3 linked regions of the Pelodiscus sinensis genome follow. The protein of the gene in region 1 interacts with the protein of each later gene in a pairwise test. Links are inferred from orthologs where the notes say so. Each region holds a gene or a part of one and is shown on either strand. Other genes may lie near its edges.

Region 1 (7,572 bases):
TCAGTGCTTCTTGCAGAAATACTATGCTGCTCCTGTTCAGGCAAAAGTCCTGTTGCGCAAAAGTTTTGCGCAAAAGGGCCAGTGTAGACAGCTCAGATTTGTTTTCCGCAAAAGCCCCAATGGCGAAAATGGCAATTGGGGCTTTTTTGCGGAAAAGCGCGTCTAGATTGGCACGGACGCTTTTCTGCAAAAGCACTTTTTGCAGAAAAAGCGTCCTTCCAATCTAGATGCTCTGTTCCGAAAATGCTTTTAACGGGAAATTCTTCCATTAAGCATTTCTGGAAAATCATGCCAGTCTAGACACAGCCTGTGTTGCAGAAGGCCAAGAAGATAAAATGGCTTGGTTGCAGTTGCAGTGTTCAAAATAAGGGCGCACTTGACTGATAACAGTGAGGTTGAAAACCATTGTCACATATCAGGCATCTACTCTGATGAGGACTGTGCTGAAATGCCTGCTAGTCCTTCAGAGGTGGTACAATTGCTGTCTTCTCCTTCTGTTTTTTAGGAAGCTTTGGAAAGATCCTTCCACCTTCAGCCCCGAGCGTTTCCTCACCATTGACGGGATGGAGGTCAACCGGGCCGAGAGCGAGAAAGTGATGACATTCGGCCTGGGGAAGAGGAGGTGCATTGGGGAGAACATTGGCAAGTGGGAGATCTTCCTCTTCCTGACCACCCTGCTTCAGCAACTGGAGTTCAGCATACGTGATGGGGAGAAGGCGGACATAACGCCTCAGTACGGACTGACCATGAAGCACAAGAGGTGTGAGCACTTCCAGATTCAGCAGCGCTTTGAGGTGAAGAGCTCTGAGTGAGCTCCCTGGCCTTCCAGCTAGGACAAGGGGATGGGGAGATGCCACATCACAGTATTTTGGCTTGTGGAAATCACCCCCCCAATGCTATGTTAGGGCTGACATGCCCTAGAGCGTCAGATATCACAGGCTGTGTTGACTCTGCATCTGAACTGACACAGTGGCGGTTGGGTCCTATCTGACTTGCACTTGCTACTGCCGTCTGCTGGCCTTCCAAGAGTGTATTGCAAACTGACCAAGCCTGCCCCGTGTACTCTGAGGAGCATGCCGTGTGGGGCTACCCGATATGTCACCTAGTTAGTGCCATCATGCTTACCTGCAGAAACAACAGACTTCGCAGATATATTTTGATCAGGTAGCTACTGATCTTGTGAGGTTTGATGCTGAGTTCTCTGCAAAACTGCTCTGGATGTCCCTGAGGTGCAGGCCTTTTATGATGGACACCTGGGCTACGTCTAGACTGGCATGATTTTCCGGAAATGCTTTTAACGGAAAATTTTTCCGTTAAAAGCATTTTCGGAAAAGAGCATCTAGATTGGCACGGACGCTTTTCCGCAAAAGCACTTTTTGCGGAAAAGCGTCCGTGGCCAATCTAGACATGCTTTTGTGCAAAAAAACCCCGATCGCCATTTTCATGATCGGGGCTTTTTTTGCGCAAAACAAATCTCAGCAGTCTACACTGGCCCTTTTGCGCAAAAGGGACTTTTGCCCGAACGGGAGCAGCATAGTATTTCCGCAAAATGCACTGATTTCTTACAGTAGGAACTCAGTGCTTTTGCGGAAATTCAAGCGGCCAGTGTAGACAGCTGGCAAGTTTTTCCGGAAAAGCAGCTGATCTTCCGGAAAAAGTGGCCAGTGTAGACACAGCCCTGGGTTTTATTGTGTGCCTTAGTTTAGAATAAGCAATTTTGGCCCAAGTTTGTCGCTGAAATTAACTAGCTAGCTGTGGCGGCAAAATCGATATGAAATATAGAATTTGATGTACAACCTGTAATTGGAGCACACGTTACAACCATTCTGTATCCTCTCATAGACTAAAAGTTTTGAGGAGAAACATAACCCCAGTCTCTCAAATGGCTGGGGTTGAACAACTTTTAGTCTAGGAATAGTGAAACTTGCATTCTTTGCAGAAAGCTAGCTCATACCCATGCACTGCTTAAATCCTATTTTGAAGACTCGTGTGAACTTCAGTGTTGTAGGGGGGGAATTTCACCCGGTTTGTGGCTGGCCATCTAAATCTGCCCCTGGTCTACACGAGGGCTTTATTTTGAAATAACTCCACTAGGGTCAAACTAATAAGTGGAGCATCCACACTACCGAGCCTGTTATTTCGAAATCACAGGCCACTTATTTTGAAATCTGGACTCCTGCTTTCCTTGAGGAGTAATGTGAATTTCAAAATCGTTATTTTTGAAATAGCGGTAGTGTGGATGCTCCGGTGCCACTATTTGAAATAACGACCCCCCCCAGAGGCATTCAGACTAATTACTCCCCAGTGCTTCCTGGGGCTCTAAGTCAAGGTAGCACGTCCACATTAAGGGAGCCTGCCTCGGACTAACTTCGAGGCTTTCCTGTAGTGAGGACATGCTATTTTGATTTTGTTATTTTGGGAGTTAAATTGAATGTAGTTATTTCAAAATCATTTCCTAGTGTAGACATGGCCTCATGGTAGCCCTCTCCCTGAAATATGTTAGACTAATAGAACATGCTCCACTTGTATGAAACATGAAAGTGCTGGGATTTGAGCATTTCCTTTAATACTTGGAATTTTTTAGGGCTACTTCAATAACCCCTGGTAAACAACCTGATACTGTTATACATGAATTAGAGGTCCTACTAGACCAGGTCCAGTAGTTTGACAAACTTCTTCAAAGTTGCAAGTTAAAATGGGTGAAAACAGAAGGCAGACAGTGAGGGGAAACCCAAAAGACCTTATTTACCTGCAAACTGTATTGCAGCTCTTTAAAACTAGTTGTTCGAGAGCATTTGTAACCAATGTAGATGTTCAGTCTGTAAAAGGTGAAGGGTAGGAGGGACAGTAAGGGGCACCTTTATACTGACAATCTCTGCAGCATTTCATATGTGCACCCAGAATGCTGTTATCACCACTACAAATACAAAGTGTATCAATGCTCACTGCATGCTTATATTGTACCTGGCTGAAATGTGATCTGTACAGAACAGTTTCATTTAACTGATAAAACATAGTTAAGAATCTCATGTAGACAATGTCTGAAATAAACATTAGCATGGGATGCTCTTGATTGTAGCCTGGGTCTGATTTTAAACACTCAGATTCTCTATTCTGAAATCCACCAACTGTTACCTCACTGTAGGAACTATCTTACCAGTCAAATCAATGGGAATTTTGCAGTCCTCACTAAGGGTGCAGCTACACAGCACCCGAAATGCAAAATAAGATATGCAATTTGTGCTACGCAAATAGCGTTTATTACACTATTTTGAAATTCAATTGAATTTTGAAATTTGGTGTCTCCACAATGTCAGATGTCAAAATAGTGCATTATTTCGAGACATCCCTTAACCCTTGTGGACCAAGGGTTACAGGGATGCCAAAATAGGTCTCGAAATAGCAGACATGCTCAAAATAGTGGGCGCATTAAAAAGACACTGGGTAGCTATTTTGGGATACTTCTGGTATCCCACAATAGCCCCACTGTTACCATTTGACAAGATCAAGTCTTTTCTCTCCATACAGAGAATGCAGCTATATTTATTCAATACATAGTGAAGTCAATAGGGAATTTTTTTGACGCTATGTACCATAACCTACCAAGCCAGTTCAGTCCTTGTTTTCACTGAAGCGGGACTCACCCTACTGAGATGAAATGTTCATATTATATTGTCTCTATATAAATATCTGTTCCTTTCCTAATGATTCCCAATCTTCTGTTATTTAGTTTTTAAGACTACCACTGCACAGATGTTTTCAGGCAATTACCTATCATTTTTGTAGGTACAGTTGGGATTATATTTTTCTAGGAGCATTTCTTGCATTTAGCAACACTAAATTCCATCTGCCTGGGTTGTTGCCCAGTCACCCAGTTTTGTGAGCTCCCTTTGTAACTCTTTGCAATCAGCTTTGGGCATAACTGTTTTGAATAATTTTGTAGTGTGTGAAAAATTTGCCATCTGTTTGCCCCTTTCAAGAACACGTTTAACAGTAATGGTCCAAAGGCAAATCCTAGCAGCAGACCGACCACTCATCCCTACGCATCCCTCCCCGCGTCTTGTAAGTGGAGTACCCGCTCCGGCAACGTTTTCACCGTGAGGGAAAGACCCCGCAGTGGCTGGATCGCCCGGCCACCTGCCCCCCGTTTCTAACCAACTCCCTGCCCCCCAGGCAGAGCAGCTCAACCTGTGCCCTGGAGTCAGTGCAGGGGCTTGCAGCAGCCCTCGAGCACCGCACGAGATCCAGGGGTTCCCACTCGGGGGGGACTGCCCCAGCCCCCCATGAGTGGGGGGGCTCAGCCTGGCGCCGCCCACCCCAGGGCAGGGAAGGGCCCAACGGCCCCCTCGGGCTGGGGGCAATGGGCAGAGGGGGCGCGGCCCCGCCCAGCCCCATGGCGCGCCGTGCCCGGGCCCCAGGCTGCCCGATGGGCACCGATTGCGGGAGCAGGGCCCCGACTACACGGCACCTTGCCCACACACAGGGCGCTTTGCGCAGGCGCACAGCGGACTTCTTTTTCGCGGCGCAGGGCTGCGGGAGGTCGGCTTGTCTATGGTCCCGGGGCTGGGTAGAGCGCCAGCCTGGCCCTCACCAAACCGCCGGACTCTATGACCGGGAAGCGGGCCCTGAGCCGCGGCGGAAGTGACGGCAGACGCACGGCGCTGCGGAGGGGGCGCTTCCGGTGTGCGTTGGGGACGGTGTGGAGAGTAGCTCCACGAGAGGCGGAGAGCGAGCGGCGGGACGCAGGTGGGGGGCGGCGCGGGGAGGGACAGGGCCTCGGCCCGCGCCGCCGTCTGGCGAGGAGAGGGGGAGGAGCTGGGGCGGCCCGTGAGGGGGGAGGGGCCCCCACGCCGGGCCAGTTCCCCTCCCCCACTCCGCCCCCTTCAATTCCTGCTCCCAGCGGGGCCGCCTGGCTGCACTGCGGGGGGAGCCGAGTCCTGGCGGCTGGGCCCCAGGCGCCTTTATTCCCCCGTGGCCCCTGGAGTCCTCCCAGCGTGAGCGCGCCCTGCACGGGGGCGTTTTGTTTTCATTTGCAAGAGAGCGCGAGCCTGGGATCCTGCTCCGCCGCCTCCCGTCACACGTGGAACGAGGCAGCCTACAAGCAGGCCTTGCGCTTTAATCGTTGTCAGCAAACTGGAGCAGGGACTCCCTTTTGCTGTGCACTTTTATAGTGGTGTGTGCAATGAATTCTGCTCCGGATTGGGCTTTCTGGGCATTACCACGATATGATTCATAAATAAGGCCCTACCAAATTCCCGGTCCATTTTGGCTAATTTCACGGTCATAGGATTTTAAAAATGGTAAATTTCATGATTTGGGATATTTAAATCTGGTGCTGCAATTGTAGGGGTCCTGACCCCCCAAAAAGAGTTGTGTGCGCTTTGCAAGATTGTATGGGGGTTGCAATATTCCTACCCTTGCTTCTGGACAGCTGCTGGCAGTAGCATTGCCTTCAGAGCTGGGCAGATGGAAAGCAGTGACTGCTGGCCAGGAATCCAGTTCTGAAGACAGAGCTTCTGCAACAGCTGTGCAGAAGTAAAATGGCATAGTATATATCACTACCCTTACTTCTGCACTGCTGCCTGCAGAGCTGGGCCTTTAGTTAGCAGCTGCTATTCTCTGGCCACCCAGCTCTGAACGCAGCAGCACACAAATAAGGAAGGGCAACATGTGTGGTGTTACCATCCTTCTGCACTGCTGCTGGAGGAGTGCTGCCTTCAGATCTGGGCACACAACCAACATAACTACTACTATAATGGCATTGCTCTGAAGGCTGCCCAGAAGGAAGGGTGGCAATACTGTGATCCTCCTAAAATAACTTGGAACCCTCTGCAACTGCCTTTTGGGTAAGGCCCCTCCCCCAATTTGAGAAACACTAGTCTCCCCTGTGAAATCTGTATCGTATAGAGTGGGTGGCCAACCAGTTAGACGAAGAGCCAAAATAGCTGTGGATAGAGTGCAAAAAGCCACGTGTTATATATTTATTTTTATGTATCTATAGATAGATAATAGTACACAAAATGTAGTGATAAAAATAACATTACAGGACATTTTGGACAAAAAAAACGTAAAACACTTTTTTTTGTTACTTAAAGAATTCATGGCCAGTCCATAAATCTTCAGAGAACTTGACAAGGAACAAATATCAAATAAAAAAAATCTTTAAAAATACAGTAATCGCACACTTAAAAAAAAATCCCCACCATGTATATTAAATTTAACACTACTGCCCTTTTATGACCTGTGTGGTTTTTAAAATTAAACTGAACTGAGAAGTAAATTAGCACAATTTGATGTGGCTGTTTCACTCCAGCTTGTGATGTCTGGTAAGGTTTCCTCATTTTTGTTACTTATGAACAGGGCTCGTCGAACCGCGGCAAGCCCCACTCGCCAGCTGCGCTGTTCAGCGATCTGCGCATGCGCAGATCGCCCGAACCCGGCTCTTCCGGGTTGCAATATACTTGCCACAGGCGAGTAGATTGCATTATTTGTCAAGCCCTGCTTATGAAGATTATGGCTTTTTTTTATAGTGCTAAAAATTCAGGACTGTCCCAGATTGCAAATATGAGAGGTTCAAAAACAATAAGGGAGAGACTCATATCTCAGAATAATTGCTTCAGCCTGGCAAATAGTAGCCTTTCAATTTTCTTTAAAGAAACAGTGTAAACCAGGTAGATACTGATTCTTTTTTTGCCCTGGAATTTAAATATGACATCTGTGTTGGCTGCCTTATTCTGCATACATGAAGACTTTGAGTTTAAAGTGCTTCAGGTCCCCCAAACACCTCTCCCTCACTTAATGCCTGGATCCCGGAGCCGTCGCTGCCGCCGCCACGCGCTTCTACCTCCAGGCGCTGGGGAATGTGCGCAGAGCGGCCGGCTGTGAGCAGGCACTGGGGCGCAGCTCAGAAGGAGCAGGAGCTGCATTTCCTTAATCAAAGAGCCGCGAGTTGGCCAGCCCTGATATAGAGCAGAAGCGCACAAAAGGCCAGATTTCATGATTTGTGATACATTTTATATGGCTCTGTATTTGGTAGGGCCCTATTAATAAATAGAACCTTGCTGTTTGTCTCCTAGGCTCTTCTCTTTAATGTTAGAAGGAACCTGTGTGCTACTGTCTTGTGGTCAACAAGGGAGTATGTACATTGGCACAAGCTGCTTTTTTTACATCTTTGGGGGAAAGGCAGCATGTTTCGGTGTGAGCTTTGGATGAGCCAAAGAGCCTAACAAGATTTTAAATATCCAATCCCTTTTACAGAGATATCAGAAATATCCAACTTATGTAATTAATTACCAGGAATTTTGGAAGGCATATTAAACCTCTTTCCTCAGGGTTTACACTATAGTCTGACTATTGGGTCTCCCGGATTTTTATGTGGGGGAGGGGCAGGTTACAGGCAGTCCCCGGGTTACGTACAAGATAGGGACTGTAGGTTTGTTCTTAAGTTGAATCTGTATGTAAGTCGGAACTGGCATCCAGATTCAGCTGCTGAATCTGGACACCAGTTCTGACTTACATACAGATTCAACTTAAGAACCCCAGGCGTCCCCAAGTCAGCTGCTGCTGAAACTG
Region 2 (7,643 bases), on another chromosome or scaffold:
AGGCGGCGGGGCGGGGTGAAGAGGAATGCATGTAATCTATAGCAGTGTTTCTCAACCTTTTTTAAAAATAAAGTACCCCTTTTAAAAAAAAATTATAAGTACCCCCAGTACCTACAGTTTTCAAGCACACACATTTTTTTTCTACCACTGCAACACATTTGTTTAAACAACTTAATCGTAGCTGGGTGGGCAATGAAATTTTTGGATGAAAAAAGTACAAAAATAATAAAGCACTGTAAAACTTGAAACAAAAATTCAGTTTTCTCCAAATTTCAGTTGTGTTGATATACCCCCCCAACTTCTCTTGAGTACCCCTAAGGGTACTCAGACCACTGGTTGAGAAATACTGGTCTACAGCATTAACCTACAAGCTTTTACTTATTGGTTAATTTACTATAGCATTACATCCCTATTGGCAGGGCTCGACAAATCGCTATATCTACTCGCCTGTGGCGAATAGATTTCAGCCGGTCGCCCTGTTCACCGGTGCTGTGCGCATGTGCAGTGCTGGTCTGGCGCTTGCAGGGTGTGGGGCTGGCGAGTAGATCTTGCCGTGGTTCGTCGAGCCCTGCCTATTGGCGATGTTAAATTGCATTTAATCAGTTAATCGACTAGTCGATTAGTTGATAATGGGGGAAAACTGCAGAGCCACAGTGGGAGCTAACCCCCCTGTGGCTCTGCTTTTTAAATTTATGAAGACCTGCCAGGCTCGTAATACACTTAAAAAGTTAAAGCGCGCGCGGGGGGGGGGGGGGGGGGGTACAGGACACAAGCCAGGAATTAGCTGCTTACCAGCTCATGCCCGGTCCCCCACTATGCCTCTGCCTCCCCCAGGAGATGGTGCTAGGGGTGAACCGGCTTTTAAGTTAGCTCCCCCAATGCCAACTCCTGCTCCCAGCCCTCTTGCTGCTTCTCTCTGATAGAGGCAGAAGGGCGGAGGAGGGAAAGCGACTAGTCGAGTCACTGGTCGACTAGTTGCTTACATCCCTAATTCCTATCATTAAAAGCACTCAGGAATATATTAGGAAATCAGTTACCAAAATTAATAAAATAACCTAATTACAATTTTTTAATTTCTATGATTCTCTTCATTTTATTCATTTATTTTCTTCAAGACTGTTACTAAAATGTTGTGTGTGCACTTTCTGAAGAGTTATATGTCTAGGTGCTAAATTTCATTTTAAAACATGAAGTTGGATGTGAATTTCTGGTCAAATATCAGAATTAGTTAAAAAGCCAACTTTGATAAAGTCTAAATTTAATAGTTACATATTAAAGCATTTTTGTATGACTTACCTTCTATACACAAATAAGGTACCTTCTATGTCAGTCTTCTCCTACAAGAGACAGCAATTACATCTATTTTAGTGATATGGTTATTCATACAGTTAGGCAGCTTGCATTCTAACAAAAAAATAACTTTTTTAGTACTTTTCAAAGATGCGTGACATCATAAAACTCAGATTTAATCTCATATTTTCAATGAATTGCTAACTTAAGGCAAATATATAAAATTATACATGCTATCTTGTTGATAATAACATTATTCATTTTTTTAGAGAAATTATACATTTCTCATCACTTTCTTCTCCTAACCAGCTTCACTAGAAAAGTCAAACAAATATATTCTCTGTAGTAACCTCATATTCATGTATAGTAATAAAATTTTACTTTGCAAAAAAAAATTTTAAAAGTATCTTGCAATGACAAATTACAATGAGTTTTTTTGGACAATAGCTACAATAGCTATAAATTGAACACACAGCTATCTATATTTTAATTTCATGCTATGCACTGATATCTTGTTTTATATATTAAAACTTAGCTAAAAAGAAAAAAGCCACATGATTTACCACCTGCAAAATAACTTTGGGTTCAACTGGACTATTCACATTACTTAAGTTTTTGCAGGAATAAGATCTCAGAGACCTCGCATGTAACTGCAAACCTCTGTGTCTGACAAGATGTTTTAAAACCTCTTTACATTCATATTAACTTTTTTTTTTTTAGAAATGTAGTGTATATTGATGGTCTTTATTTTCAAAACTGTAGAAAAAGAAAGATATTCTTGAAATTAATCGGAAATTTTATTTCAGAAGAGCAGTCAGTACCAATATTTCTAAAATCCCATACTTTTTGAACTTCAAAATTATCAGCAGGTGGAAAGTGACAACTAGAAAGGTACATAGATACACACACAAATACAAACCGAAAAAACCCTGCAAACAAACACAATTGAGCGTATAAAGCATGTTAGGCAAAACTACTCTATCTGCTTCAATGATAAAAATCAGTGGGGTAGCTATGTTAGTTCTGTCCACCAAAACGAGAGGTCTTGTTTGGGCATACGCTTTCATGGGCAAAATCCCACTTGGTCATATATATCTGACAAAGTGTTTCGTTGCCACAAAGCTTTTGCTCAAATAACTCTATTAATTTCTGGCGTCGGATTTAAATTGTCTCCTCAAACTAAGAACAGTCCGAGATGCTTGGGAGAGGGAAAAGTGTGAAAATTTCAAACTTGTCAAGAGTCACGGCCCTTACCCCGCAAAGCACAGTCCCACAAGCTGAACGGCCTAACCCCTGGGGGCCTCCCGTCCCAGTGTGTGTATAGGTGGGGGGGGGCGGTTCTGGGGCTGCCACTCCCCACTGCTGCGGGGAGTTTTGGTTTCTCTCGTTAAGGGGACAGTGGCTGCCTCTGCGCGCTGGGGATGGGGAGCGAGCGTGTCGGGGTCTATCCCCGGAAATGGGGGGAGGGCCTGGGCCCAGCTCTCCTCCCCTGGGAGGGCGTGTGGGGGTGTCGGTGTCTCTCCTCTCGGCCCGGGGGAAGGGTCTGCAGCGCTCCTGGGGGAAGGCAGCAGGCCCCGGCTCCCCACTTACCCACTCGTTGGCTTTGGGGCTGAAGCTGTAGAGCGCGACCTGGCCGGTCACGTCGGCGATGCTGGTGATGTAGGGATCGTTCCGCTTTAAGACCGCCAGGCTCATCTCCTGCCCCGCTTTACTCAGCGACTCCATCTTGGATCCCGGGAGGAACCGGAGGGGGTGGGGGAAGGGAGCGAGGACCACGGCGTCACGTGTGCAGCCTTCCGTGTTCTCGCCCGGGCACGGCGGCCTCCGCGCCGTCCGTTCCGCCCTGCTGCCGCTGCGCCCTGGGTTCTGGCTGCGGCTGCCCGGGTAGCGGTCGGGGAGTCGGTTACCTCCCGCCCGCAGCTCCCAAGAAGGGACTGTGCCGGGGGACCCCGGCCCCTCGGAAAGGCATCGCCCTGGGCGTAGTCCTGAAGGGGAGTAGGTGAGGCTCAGGCCTCCCGAGCAACGAGCCGCCCCCAGCTGGGCAGCCGGAGGATTTGTGCCCTTAGTGCCCTGTCTGCACTTGCTGCAAAGTCCCATGTTAGGTAACAGGGTTTAATCCATTGGAGACAACCTGGGAGAGACTGATACCGTCCCCAGACGCCAGAACCAGCAGCATGTACAATACTGACCTCTCCCAGGAGCAATGCAGGACGTTGCCACCACAGCCTCAAGGATTCCTCCATGCTTGGGCCAACAGAGTCCCACCGTTGGCATGAATCCCTGAGGCTGTACGCTCCATTCCAGTAGATATGTGAGCCTGAAGGCGTGAGGGGCCTCTCTTGGACCTGGCTACCCCACATCTTTGCACAGACTCCTAGCCATGTCTTCGACCCTTTGGCTGGGATTCACCAGCTCCAAACAAGGAACTATTGACAACACAGTGGCATTCAAAAGAAAATGATTGTATGAGGTTGTATTTCAGATTTCCTGTGTGCTAGCTCCAGCTCCAACTAAAGTCTCTCAGCACAGGCCTGCAGGAACTGTACAGGGATTCTTCTTGCTTACCAGGATGGCTTTAGCACTTGGTAATGATGCCTAGTCAAGATGAATCTGCTAGGGTGAAGGAGGAGTTGATGGCTGCCTTAAGGCCTTGTCAATTATGTGAGGGGACAAAGTAAGGCAACAGGCACTTACAGCATGAGCCTTTGTGCCTTGCCTTCCTATTCTGTCCCTAAGCTTGTTTCCCTTGAGCTACTGGTCTAGTGGGGAGATTCACATGTCACTGTTTGGGTCAGTCTTTTGACATCTGGATTATCCATGTGTACAGAAACAAACTCATCAGACTCTCTGCAACCTGGTAAGGTAAAGGTTGTTAAACTATAAATGCTTTATAAAAGTTACATTAGTCATTAAAGAGTCAATGTAGGTGATGTAATTTCTTGTATTCAATCAACCTCTGATGGTGAGAGGGACAAGGTTTTAAGCTACACAGAGCTCTTCATCAGGTCTGGGAAAAATACAATGACGAGCTCTGTGCAGCGGGAAAGTGTGACTCTCACCAACTGAAGTTGGTCCAATAAAAGATATCTCACCAACTTTGTTCCAAATATCCTGGGATAGGGTTGCCAACTCTCAGGGACTGGACAGACCAGAAACCATTGCTGTGAATAGTGTTTGGTCTGTCCAGTTGGGAAGATTAGCAACCCGGCATCAAGAGGGCTATAACAACATTAATCATTGACATATGTGGGTAATGCATCTAACGCATGTAGAAGTGGAGCCTCAGTTTATTTGCTTTGATTAGAGCTGGGCTTGATAGATATTACTGTTTATTGAGATAACCTTACTGAATTAGACCAGTGGTTCAACTAGTCCAATATTATGTCTCTGACAGTAGCCAGAACTCCAAATGTGCTTATCTTAGGTATTTACATGGCTCCCATTACATTAGCATCTGAATGTCTTGCAAACTTTATAATGTATTCAGCCTTATATGCAGGGAACTGTGCAAAATATTCATAACATGATTTGAAAACCTCACTTTTTGGGAGGAGGAGATTGCATTTAATTTGTTCTAAGGGAATGGGCTTTATTAGGTGAAAAACCATCATGGTGGTTTTGACCATGTGGCTAGTCAAAGTTTGGAGCCTTGCCAGTTATTGTAGCTGAGTGTAGAAACTGACAATGGAGAATGGTATTTGTTTTGATGAAATCCTGTTTCTTTACAAGGAATGTGCAAAGTCTTGCCTCTTTCTTGATCCCCAAAACTTGAGAGATGCAGTATTGAAAAGTTCACAAGGTGAACCGTACGACGTTCTTAGGCTATCTGTCTCACAGCTAGCAAACAATATTGCCAGAGTTCTGTTGATACAATTTGTGAGGCAGGTGTACAAACTTGTACCAAATTCTGCTTTTCACTATTCTTGCATGATTCCCATTGGGGGCCAGACTGTAAAGTGCACATGTACTGATGATACACAGAATGGATGAACCTTCTCAAACCTTGCATACTCTTAATAGAATGAGAAACTTATTTGCCAGGTACCCCAGAAGTTTTACATTGCTTCAAAGAGCCTGCTGAGTGGGCTGGCTGCACCAGAAGAACAGGCTCATGCATCTTAATGGATGAACCTGTCAAATATTAAAGGAGGGTCTACACACCGCCTGTGGATACAGAAACTGAAGGTAGGATTGTGCCTTCCCAGGACACAATCTCACCTCAAGCAATCCCTGCCTGGGGCACTATTATTCCACATTGTTCTTTACTCAGGGCTCTGTTTATCCGGTACACTCTAACACCAAGCCATGTCTACATAGCAGCACTATTTCGACTTAAGATATGCAATTGATGTAGCTCAAATTGTGTAGCTTCTTTCGGCATTAGCCCTGTTGTGTAGACGTGCCCCAACTGTGTTAACTTTAACGGGGGCTTCCAAAGGCAAGAAATGGCATCTATAATGAGCAAAAATGCTATATATTGTGAGTTAAAGTGACTGAGTACTATTCTGTCCAATATTAATAGGGGAAAACAGGTACTAAAAAGAGAAGACACAAATTATTTGAAAATTATTTTAAACAAAAAGGGTGCCTAGAAAATGTGTACACAGATTCAAAATCCTTTTGAAGTATGGATCTCAGTGATGATTCTAAGCACTGCAACAAATAGGATGACCCTTGTCTTCATGTCAAGCTTGGACAAGCGTGGTCTAAAGCAAACCTTGCTTTCAAACTACAGGCAGTCCCCGACTTACGTGGATCCGACTTATGTCGGATCCGTAGTTACAAACGGGGCTTTTCTCGCCTCGGAGGACGCGGGCGGCGGGACCGCCCAGATGCGCTGCGGTCCCGCCGCCCGCGTCCTCCAGGGCGAGAAAAGCTGCTCCGCGTCTCCCTGGTCTGCTGGGGAAGTGCCCCCAGCAGACCAGGGAGATGCGGAGCAAAGCCTCGGAGGACGTGTGCGGCGGGACCGCCCAGACGCGCCGCGGTCCCGCTGCCCGGGTCCTCCGCGGCTTTGCTCCGCATCTCCCTGGTCTGCTGGGGGGGGGCCCCCCCAGCAGACCAGAGAGACGCGGAGCAAAGCCGTGGAGGATGTGGGTGGGACCGCGGCGCGTCTCGGTGGTCCCGCCGCCCGCGTCTCCCTGGTCTGCTGGGGGGAGGGGGACGCAGCTAGTGCGCACCCCCCCCCCAGCAGACCAGGCTTTTCTCGCGATGCCTGGGGTAGAGCAGCTGGGGTGCTGCCCGGTTGGTCCCGCAGCGCCGCTCCTCGGCGCTACTGGACCAACCCGCCAGCACCCCAGCTGCTCTGCCCCAGGCGTCCTGATTCAGCCGCTGCTGGTCAGTTTCAGCAGCAGCTGAATCAGGACGCCTGGGGCAGAGCAGCTGGGGTGCTGCTGGGTTGGTCCAGTAGCGCCGAGGAGGGGCGCTACTGGACCAACCCGGCAGCACCCCAGCTGCTCTGCCCCAGGCGTCCCCAAGTCAGCCGCTGCTGAAACTGACCAGCGGCTGACTACAGGAAGCCCGAGGCAGAGTTGCTCTGCCCTGGGCTTCCTGGAATCAGCTGCTGATCAGTTTCAACAGCGGCTGACTTGGGGACACCTGGGGTAGAGCAGCTGGGGTGCTGCCAGGTTGGTCCCCGCAGCGCTGAGGTGCGGCACTGCGGGGACCTACCCGGCAGTGCCCCAGCTGCTCTGTCCCAGGCATCCAGATTCAGCCGCTATTGAAACTGATCAGCGGCTGATTCCAGGAAGCCCAGGGCAGAGCAACTCTGCCTCGGGCTTCCTGTAGTCAGCCGCTGGTCAGTTTCAGCAGCGACTGAATCTGGATGCCAGTTCCGACTTACATACAGATTCAACTTAAGAACAAACCTACAGTCCCTATCTTGTACGTAACCCGGGGACTGCCTGTAATGCAATGAGAAGATCTTGACAAAGTGCAGCCTTCTGCAATGCCAGATCTTCTTTACTGCATCTTGAATTAAAAGTGAAACATGAAGAGCACTGATAATAGAATCAAGTGGGAGTTTTGGTTCGTGGATTGTTGTCCTCCATCATCTTTTACCCCAGTTCAACACTCAAGTGGGTTTGTTCTCCTTGCCCTTGTTCACTGCTCGTGCCTCATTGTGTGATATTTTATATCAGAAATGTATGAATAATGAGTGAAGGCTCTCATCTTCCTCTGCCCTGAAGCACACAGAAGTAAACAGTATGTGCTTAGCCTCAAACTTAGACCTCTGTGTAAATGTTGCATCTCGGTAAGATTGTTCAGTGGCTATTGTATATTGTGAATATCTTTATCCTCTTTTGAGTTATGCAGCAGTTAGTGGGGGAAATATGTTTACCTATCATTCTATACAT
Region 3 (7,918 bases), on another chromosome or scaffold:
CCTAGCAGTAAAGTCACGGACGTTAAACCTTTTCTCAGCACACACACACACACACACACACACACACACACACACACACACACACACTGCCCTGACCGTCGGCTGACAGTTAGGTCCATCAATGGCTATTAGCCAGGATGAATAAGATTGGTGTCCTTAGCCTCTGTTTGTGAGAGGCTGGAAATGGATGGCAGGTGAAGGATCACTTGATGATTCCCTGTTCTGTTCAATGCCAGAGGCCCCAGAGGGAGTGGTCATGTCAGAAGACAGGATACTGGGCTAAATGAACCTTTGGTCGGACCCATTATAGCCATTCTTATTTTCTTAGCAGAGTTAAGCTCTTCTTTGACTATCTTTTATCTTCCCATGACTCATTCTCACACTGTCCTTCCTCCTCATAGTTGTAATATTACAGTTTTACCAGCTCAGGATGCATAATATTTGATTCCCCCACAAAATTACAAGGTATATTTAGCGATACAAAGAGAAAGTCCCATGCCTGTAACACATTACTCTGTCATATTTGCTGTAGACTGGACAAAAGCTAGCAGTACACGTGTGTTTCTTGGCCATTACATTTCTGTTCTCTGAAAAATCTCTACAGCAACACATGAAGCTTATAATGCCTTCAATTTGCACTTTGTTTTTCATAGATGTAAATAACTGATATTCATTTCTCTGTAATTAATATCAGGACGAACAACAACAACAATTAATATCAAATAATCCTATTTTAGAATGTAACTTATTTTTAGTTCTCATTTTAATTAAATTATTTTTATAAGTTTTAGAAATTCATTACACCGGGTTCGTTTTAGTCAGTCTTCCCATTAGCACCAAAAAGAAAAATGTCAATTTGAATTCCTAATCCTAAATATGTTAATTATCAACTTCATCAGACAGAGCAAAAGAGGAGTCTAAGTGGAAGATCCTCCTGAGGATAGGATGGGCAGGAGTGGTGTCCTTAGCCTCTGTTTATCAGAAGTTGGGAATGAGTGACCCTTGATGATTACCTGTTTTGCTCATTGCCTCTGGGGCACCTGGTGTTGGACACTGTCAGAAGACAAGTTACTGGGCTAGATGGACCTTTGGTACAACCCAGTATGGCCGTTCTTATATTCACCAAACAGGGCAGAGGAGGAGGGAATCCAGCCTCCTTCACTGTCACTGAAAGGCAAAATGGCAGTGTTAGTCTCTCTGATAGGAGGCAACATTGTTGGGGGAGGAACACACTCCTCAATCAGCTGCAACATGTATGGACCTTTAAAAGGAACAGGAAGGGGAAACCTCAGGGTGTGTCTAGACTACATGGCTCTGTCGACAGTTTATTTGGCAGTTTATTCAGCATAGTCAAAGTGGGAATTTAAATAATCCCCACTTCATTAAAATAAACATGGCCGCCAAGCTGTGCTGACAATCAGCTGATCCAGCACAGCAGTCTAGACACGGCGTAGTCGACAAAGGTATGCCCTTTTCACATGGGTCTGGACTTTACATTATGTGCCATGCATACCACAGGTCCTGGTTTTGTTTTCTTGTTTTAGACCTGTAGTCCCTTATCATGGCAGATTTTGACACTGAAGGATTAAAATATTGTAAACATAATCCATTTTGTATTGTACTGAATGTTAGTCATTAATCACACTGCATTTTATTTACTCTTCATGGCAAAATAAGAAATCAAAAAAAAGTCAGAGCCTGTAAAGAGAAACTAATATTTGTTCCAAAATGAGGACAGCCAGGAAACCTATGTTGGGTTCTGCCACTGTCTTGTTGTGTGAATCTGGGCAAGTCACTGAACTTATCAGTGGTTCAATTTCCTTGTTTATGAAATGGGGAATAAAATGTCTATAAAATGGGGAATAGAATGTCTAAGTCATTTATTATAAAGCACTTGAAGTAAAGGAATGTAAAGTGGTATAAGACAGTAGTTTTATTTATTATGATAAGTGAAAAGGACAACTTTAATTAATAGGCATCAGGCTTAAAAAACAAACAAAAAAGTACTTCTTCACACATGCATAGTCAGTCTTTGAAACTCATTTTCAGGGGATGTTGTAAAGGCCATAACTAGATAAGTTCATGGAATACAGATTCATCAGTGGCTATTGGTCAAGATGGCCAGGGATGCAAACCCATGCCCTGGGGTCCCTAGCCTCTCACTGACAGAAGTTGGGAAAAGACAATGAGGAATGGATCACTCTGTGATTGCCAGTTATGTTCATTCTCTCTGAAGCCCTTAGAGCTGGCCACTGTTGAAAGACAGAATACAGGGCTAGTTCTTATGACGCTATCCTACAGTGCTAAAAAGCCTTACCTATTTCATAGGCATACAGAAATATACAGATATTTTGGAGGGTTTTTGTTAGGATTGACATTCACAGCCACTCATATCCTACAAACCATCCCAAACCAGAGAAGTTCCCTAGTGGAAAATCCTTGAAAAATGAAAAGCATAGATCCCAAGTTTGTTTATAGACAATAGTAATGATACTACATCAGTAGAGCTCAAAACTCTTTTTTTTTTTTTTTAAAAGGGGGTCAAGTATCATTATCCTCATTTTACGTACAGGCACATTAAGGCATAGGAATGTCCAAGGTCACTCAGATCAGCAGTAGAGCCAGGATGACCACTGGGTGGTCTGAGTTCCAATCTATTGATCTATCCACCAGGCCATAATACACCTCCTAAATAAATTAATGAACCAGCTCTTTCAAAAGTGCATTATAAATAATACAAGTGGTTTTTTTTTAAAAAAAAAAAAACACACAATTAAGACTCTTAGTTCATTTCAGCTTGAAGTAATATACATCTCTTAATAAAATTAAGTCTCTTGGCAGGTTTTTAGATAGAACAGTGGAAACCAATGTTCCCTCTATTTTATCCATCCATGCGGAGAATAAATTTTGCCATGTGCACCAAAGCACATGCAGATGTGCACCACAAGTAGAATCACATGCTGCCAACTATGCCAGCTGTTGGTGCTGTGTTAAACAGCCAGGCAGCATTTGAATCTCCCCCGAGTGACCACCCAAGTACTCAGCAAGGAGGAAACATTGGTAGGCTATGTCTAGACTGCAGTGCTTTTCCAGAACACCAGGGTATACCAGAAAAGCAATGCCATGTCCAAGGAATGGGTCTGTTTTAAAAAAAAATAAAAGCAGACACTCTTCCATCATCCCTGTAAACCTCGTTCTACAAGGAAAAAGGGATGTGTCTAAAGAGCAGGTTTTTCCAAAATTTGACACCATGCAGATGTGCCAAAATTCAGAAAAGCCACTTTGACAGAAAAGCAGAAAAAGATATGCAACTTGCAGTTCGCAATTTGCGTATCTTTTTCCACCTTATCTTTGTAATCTAGACATAGCCGTAGTAACCCATAATAGCATCTTTTCTAATAAAACCCTAGGATGCACACTTAGTTCTCTCATCTGTATTTTAAACTTTTAAGTAGGAATGAAGGAAGATATTTCAGGAAATGTCACATTTCCTGACACCGTAAATAAATTATAATAATTTTATTAGCAAAGGGAATAAAGGTGGAGGTTGCTTTAAGTACGTGCTCAATAAGATCATGATCCAACTAGCACAGTATCTTGTCTTCCAACAGTAGCCAATGCTAGGTGCTTCAGAGGGATGAACAGAGCAGGTCAATTATTAAGTGATCCATTTCTGTCATCTACTCGCATCTTCTGTCAGTTGGAGGCTTAAGGATACCCAGAGCTGGGGGTTGTATCTATGACCATCTTCGCTAATAGCCAAGGTCATTCATGACTTTATAGATCTTTATCATAACCCTGTTGATTAGTTGCCTCTTTTTCAAGCTGAAAAAAAGTCTATTTCAATATCTCCTCACTTAGAAGCCATTCCATACCCTTAATCACTTTTGTTCCTCTTTCCTATATCTTTCCCAATATATCTTTTATTTAGCAGCCAAATTACACAGTATTCAAGATGTGGGAATTACATGGATTTATTCCATGACATTAGGATATTTTTTGTTTTATCTACCCCTTCCCTAACAACTATTATATATTGTACAGATATTTTTAGAGAATTCACCACAGTGACTTCAAGATCTGTTTCTTGAGTGATAACAGCTCACTTAGGTCACATCATTTCTATGTATAATTGGTATTATGGTTTTCTAATGTGCATTACTTTGCATTTACCAACATTGAATTTAATCTGCTGTTTTGTTGCCTAGTCACTCAATTCTGTGAGATTCCTTTGTAACTCTTTCCAGTTTGCTTTGGATTTAAACTAACCGGAGTAATTTTGTATAATATTTGTCATCTCACTGTTTAGCCCTTTTTCTAGAATATTAATCATTTTTATGACAACTGCTATGCCAATTTAAACCAAATGAGGATCTGACCCGGTAACTACACAAACATTAGGTAGAGTCAGTACAGCATCCATGTCATGCCAGCTGGAAATAGTCAATAAAATATATACTGGACTAAATGACTCAGCCATAGGAAAAAATGAGCTAGAGACATTTTAAGGCTGGAAGTCAATCATTAACGTAAGTATTTTCTGTAGCTTAATACTTCATTCCTTGATTGGCTAAATTCTGTTTCTTAAATCAACACATTAGCGCAATAAGATACTATTTGTTTTACGTAATAATCCTGCTTAGTCATATATGATTAATGGCTAAGTATACATAGTGAATCTGTAAAATCTGGGAATGTGCAGTACCAAGAGTTGCTCCTACTTCATTGTTACCTGGGAGTCAAATGTGATTGGTAGAAGAGTATCAGTTTGATTGGGTGGTTCCAGTCAGTCCTCTTCAAAGTAATAAGCATTACTTATAGCAATTTTAAGTATTGTGAATCCTACTTTGAGCTCTGCTGAACTTGAAGACTTACACCAAAATGTATTGTGGAGGTTATGTAAGTAGAATGATCAGTTCTGCCAAGTCTTTCAAACTTAACAGAATGTTAGTAGCGCAGATCTTCAGCTGGCGTGAATAAATGCATCTCTATTGTAGTCAATTTACTGCCATTTTATGCAGGTATAGATCTGGCCTGAGGTTTTTATGTGATATCTAAAATGTGGATATGTTGAATGAGAGAATGAAGAATGTTGTTTGTACAGTTCACATACATTAAAATGTTAGCTCTAAAACAAAAATGTGTCTTACCATTTACTTCTGAGATTTGAGTGTTCATGGATGATATTTAGATATAAAACAGAGATACATAATTTTGTACCATCACTAAACAATAAAGTTTTTCATTAATCCATTAAAAAAGGGCAAATTTAAGTATCCTCACAAAATAAGTACAACCTGAAAAACATTTTTAGTTTGGACTAATTTGTTAGCTTAAAATCTTAACACCCTTAAAAATGGAAGTTTTATTTACAGAATCAAAGAGAGCAGACTGTTGTACTGGTTTAGTAAAAGTTTGTAGTTCTGAAGTATGCCTCTCTCCTCTGAAGGAGTCAAAACGAATGCATAGAAATTTGGCATGACTTGGCCTAAAAATTATTTAAGACAGTCTTAAAATCTCATATTCTGCCTGCTTTTTATCACTATTTAATTCCTACATTGTCACACAGCTTATTAAAAATAAACAAAACTTTTCAATCATCTGATGGTATTGATAAATATTGCCTTTTTATTATGTTTCATACATAATACACTTCAGAACTTTTTTTAGAAGAACGACGTGTGTTTGTGTTACAAGTTACAATAAACATGTTTTATGGGTAAGTATTTATTTTTGTTGGGGATATTTTAAGTTATATTCAATTTGTTTATATTTTGAAAAAGGAAAAATATTCAGAAATTAAAACTGACTCTCAATTATGTGACCAATCATGGGAAATGGTGTTGATTAAATGTGCCAGATTAATAAAGTTGTACCATGGTACATGCGCTTAGTACTTTTTGAGAGCAAATTATAAAACTGCTTTATATATATGGAATGTGTGTAACTGTACTGGTTAAGGAATTTCATACCCTTTTAATGATTAATCCTAGGATAATAGTGTATTTTTCCAAAACACTCTGTATATGTGCAGGCATCCCCAACTGATTTACTAATCAGATACATAATTTAAAAATTGCTAATGCTTTCAGTATTGAAGGTTAATTATTCCAGTCTCACTGAAAAAACATTTCTTTCTAGAAAACTATATTGCATTTGTTTCTCTAGACAAATAACTATTCAGTATATGTTTCCATAATGTGTTTGTCTTTGATCTGTGATTTGGGATCTTCATTACATTACTAGACCTAAGACTCCACTTAAGAGCTGAAAGTTGTTTTCTTTCTTTCTACTGTGTTATGAATGTATTTCATTTTACTAGAGTGAAAGAGGAAGAAATAGGCAGTCTGACACAACTAGAAGACTGATTTTTATCTGGAGAAGTCACCAAGTTTAGTTTTTGTATTCTTCTGATTAATCAAGTCCAATTGTATTTGAGTAATTAATATATACTGATAGTATTGTCTGGTATTAATGTTAATATATTACATTACCACAGAAGAGAATTATTTCACTTTTTCATCACTAAAGACTGCTAAATCTAATATTAATCAGATTTAATGATATTGCAGCTAAGTGATCTCTTTATAACTTGAACACACAGTACCGTCAGGGGGGCTGAGAGAATTGCCAAGCCATGGGTAAGATTGGGGGAGAATAAAGGGAAAGCAGAGGAGGTTCATCTGAGTCACAGTACCTCTCCAGGCTAGTCCTAGCATGGTACCATTTATACACATCTTTTACAGAGGGCTAAAGGCACAATCTAGACCTAACTATTTCCTAGAGGAATCCCAATACAATATTAATTTAGAAACACAAGAAAAAGCAAAGTCATTGTTCATATCATTTTTAGAATTATTAATTTTCTAAAAATCATTTTTGCATATGGCTCTCTGAATGGTTACCTTGATTGGAATACATTAAGGCTTAAGAATGCAAACCAGAAAGTGCTCCCAACAACAATCCTGCCAAACAAAGAAACTGCATTTGACTTCATTATTGTGGTTGTGTACCAGAAATGGTTCCCCATAGTACGCAAACTGAAAAACTACCAGAAATTAGATAAGAAGGCAGCCATTGCCCTTCATAAAATACATGTATCAGGAAAAGTAGAGGACTGAAGCAGTTATATTGAAAAGCTTGTGTGCCATTATTGATAATAAAATCACAAATTAAAACTACTCTTAGCAATTTTCATATAACAAAGCTGTACCACAGAAGATCTCTTTGAGAAAGCATAACTAGTTCATAAGAGATTAGAATAAGTAGCTAGCTTTTAAAGCATGCATTTTCTGACAGAAGTTATTCACAGCTGAAAACATTCAATCCAATGAAATCTGACTTAGATTGTTTGTTATCAGCAGTATGACTTACTAAGCAAATATTATTAGAAGGTTGTTCATACTTCAGATTACTTTTGATATAATAAGACTGCATTGTATGGACTTTACACACCATAATTCAGTAAAAGCTGTGAAAACATAGCTACGGCCTCAGCTTCAGGCTTATAAGGAACTGCTTAAAGCTTTGGTTGAGGAAAGAAAAAGTTGTAACTTTTGTTACAGTGAAATCAACACATAAGCAGACCTCAATGTCCTGACCAGTATGTCAAAGTGGAAAAAAAAACCCCAACAACAACCTTTAACACTAGCATACAATGTGCTCTTTATTAAGCCATTGCAGTTGTATTTATCTTCACTGAACCTTATCTACTAGAACCACATTTCCAAAACTGGGCATCTAAAGTTTGGCCATAAAAATGCACTTGTATGGAGCCATAGGTACAAAAGCTACAATTCAGTAGTTGCAGATACATATTCTGATTCACATATGCAAATATGAAGGTTAGGTGTGCATTGGTATTTCTGAGGACTGAGGATTTGAAAAAATATCCCTTAATCCTACATATAATATTACA

Evidence for each region.
Region 2: the proteins of EDC3 (region 1) and DCP1A interact in binary tests that used the Homo sapiens proteins (3 or more experiments, as listed by UniProt). The two-hybrid records come from large-scale screens. The link is inferred for Pelodiscus sinensis from reciprocal best matches to the Homo sapiens genes EDC3 and DCP1A.
Region 3: the proteins of EDC3 (region 1) and ANXA10 interact in binary tests that used the Homo sapiens proteins (3 or more experiments, as listed by UniProt). The link is inferred for Pelodiscus sinensis from reciprocal best matches to the Homo sapiens genes EDC3 and ANXA10.

Annotation. Positions count from the first base shown.
Region 1 is NC_134724.1:35,330,271-35,337,842, forward strand, and holds the start of EDC3 (enhancer of mRNA-decapping protein 3), read left to right. Parts: upstream 1-4,571; 5' UTR 4,572-4,683; exon of another isoform or gene 4,684-4,746; intron 4,747-7,572. Other genes in the region: cytochrome P450 1A5-like, read left to right, coding at 506-812. UniProt on the Homo sapiens protein: Binds single-stranded RNA. Involved in the process of mRNA degradation and in the positive regulation of mRNA decapping. May play a role in spermiogenesis and oogenesis.
Region 2 is NC_134721.1:30,781,906-30,789,548, reverse strand, and holds the start of DCP1A (mRNA-decapping enzyme 1A), read right to left. Parts: upstream 3,052-7,643; 5' UTR 3,016-3,051; coding exon 2,881-3,015; intron 1,338-2,880; coding exon 1,297-1,337; intron 1-1,296. UniProt on the Homo sapiens protein: Necessary for the degradation of mRNAs, both in normal mRNA turnover and in nonsense-mediated mRNA decay. Removes the 7-methyl guanine cap structure from mRNA molecules, yielding a 5'-phosphorylated mRNA fragment and 7m-GDP.
Region 3 is NC_134715.1:65,037,477-65,045,394, forward strand, and holds the start of ANXA10 (annexin A10), read left to right. Parts: upstream 1-4,834; 5' UTR 4,835-4,881; coding exon 4,882-4,899; intron 4,900-7,918.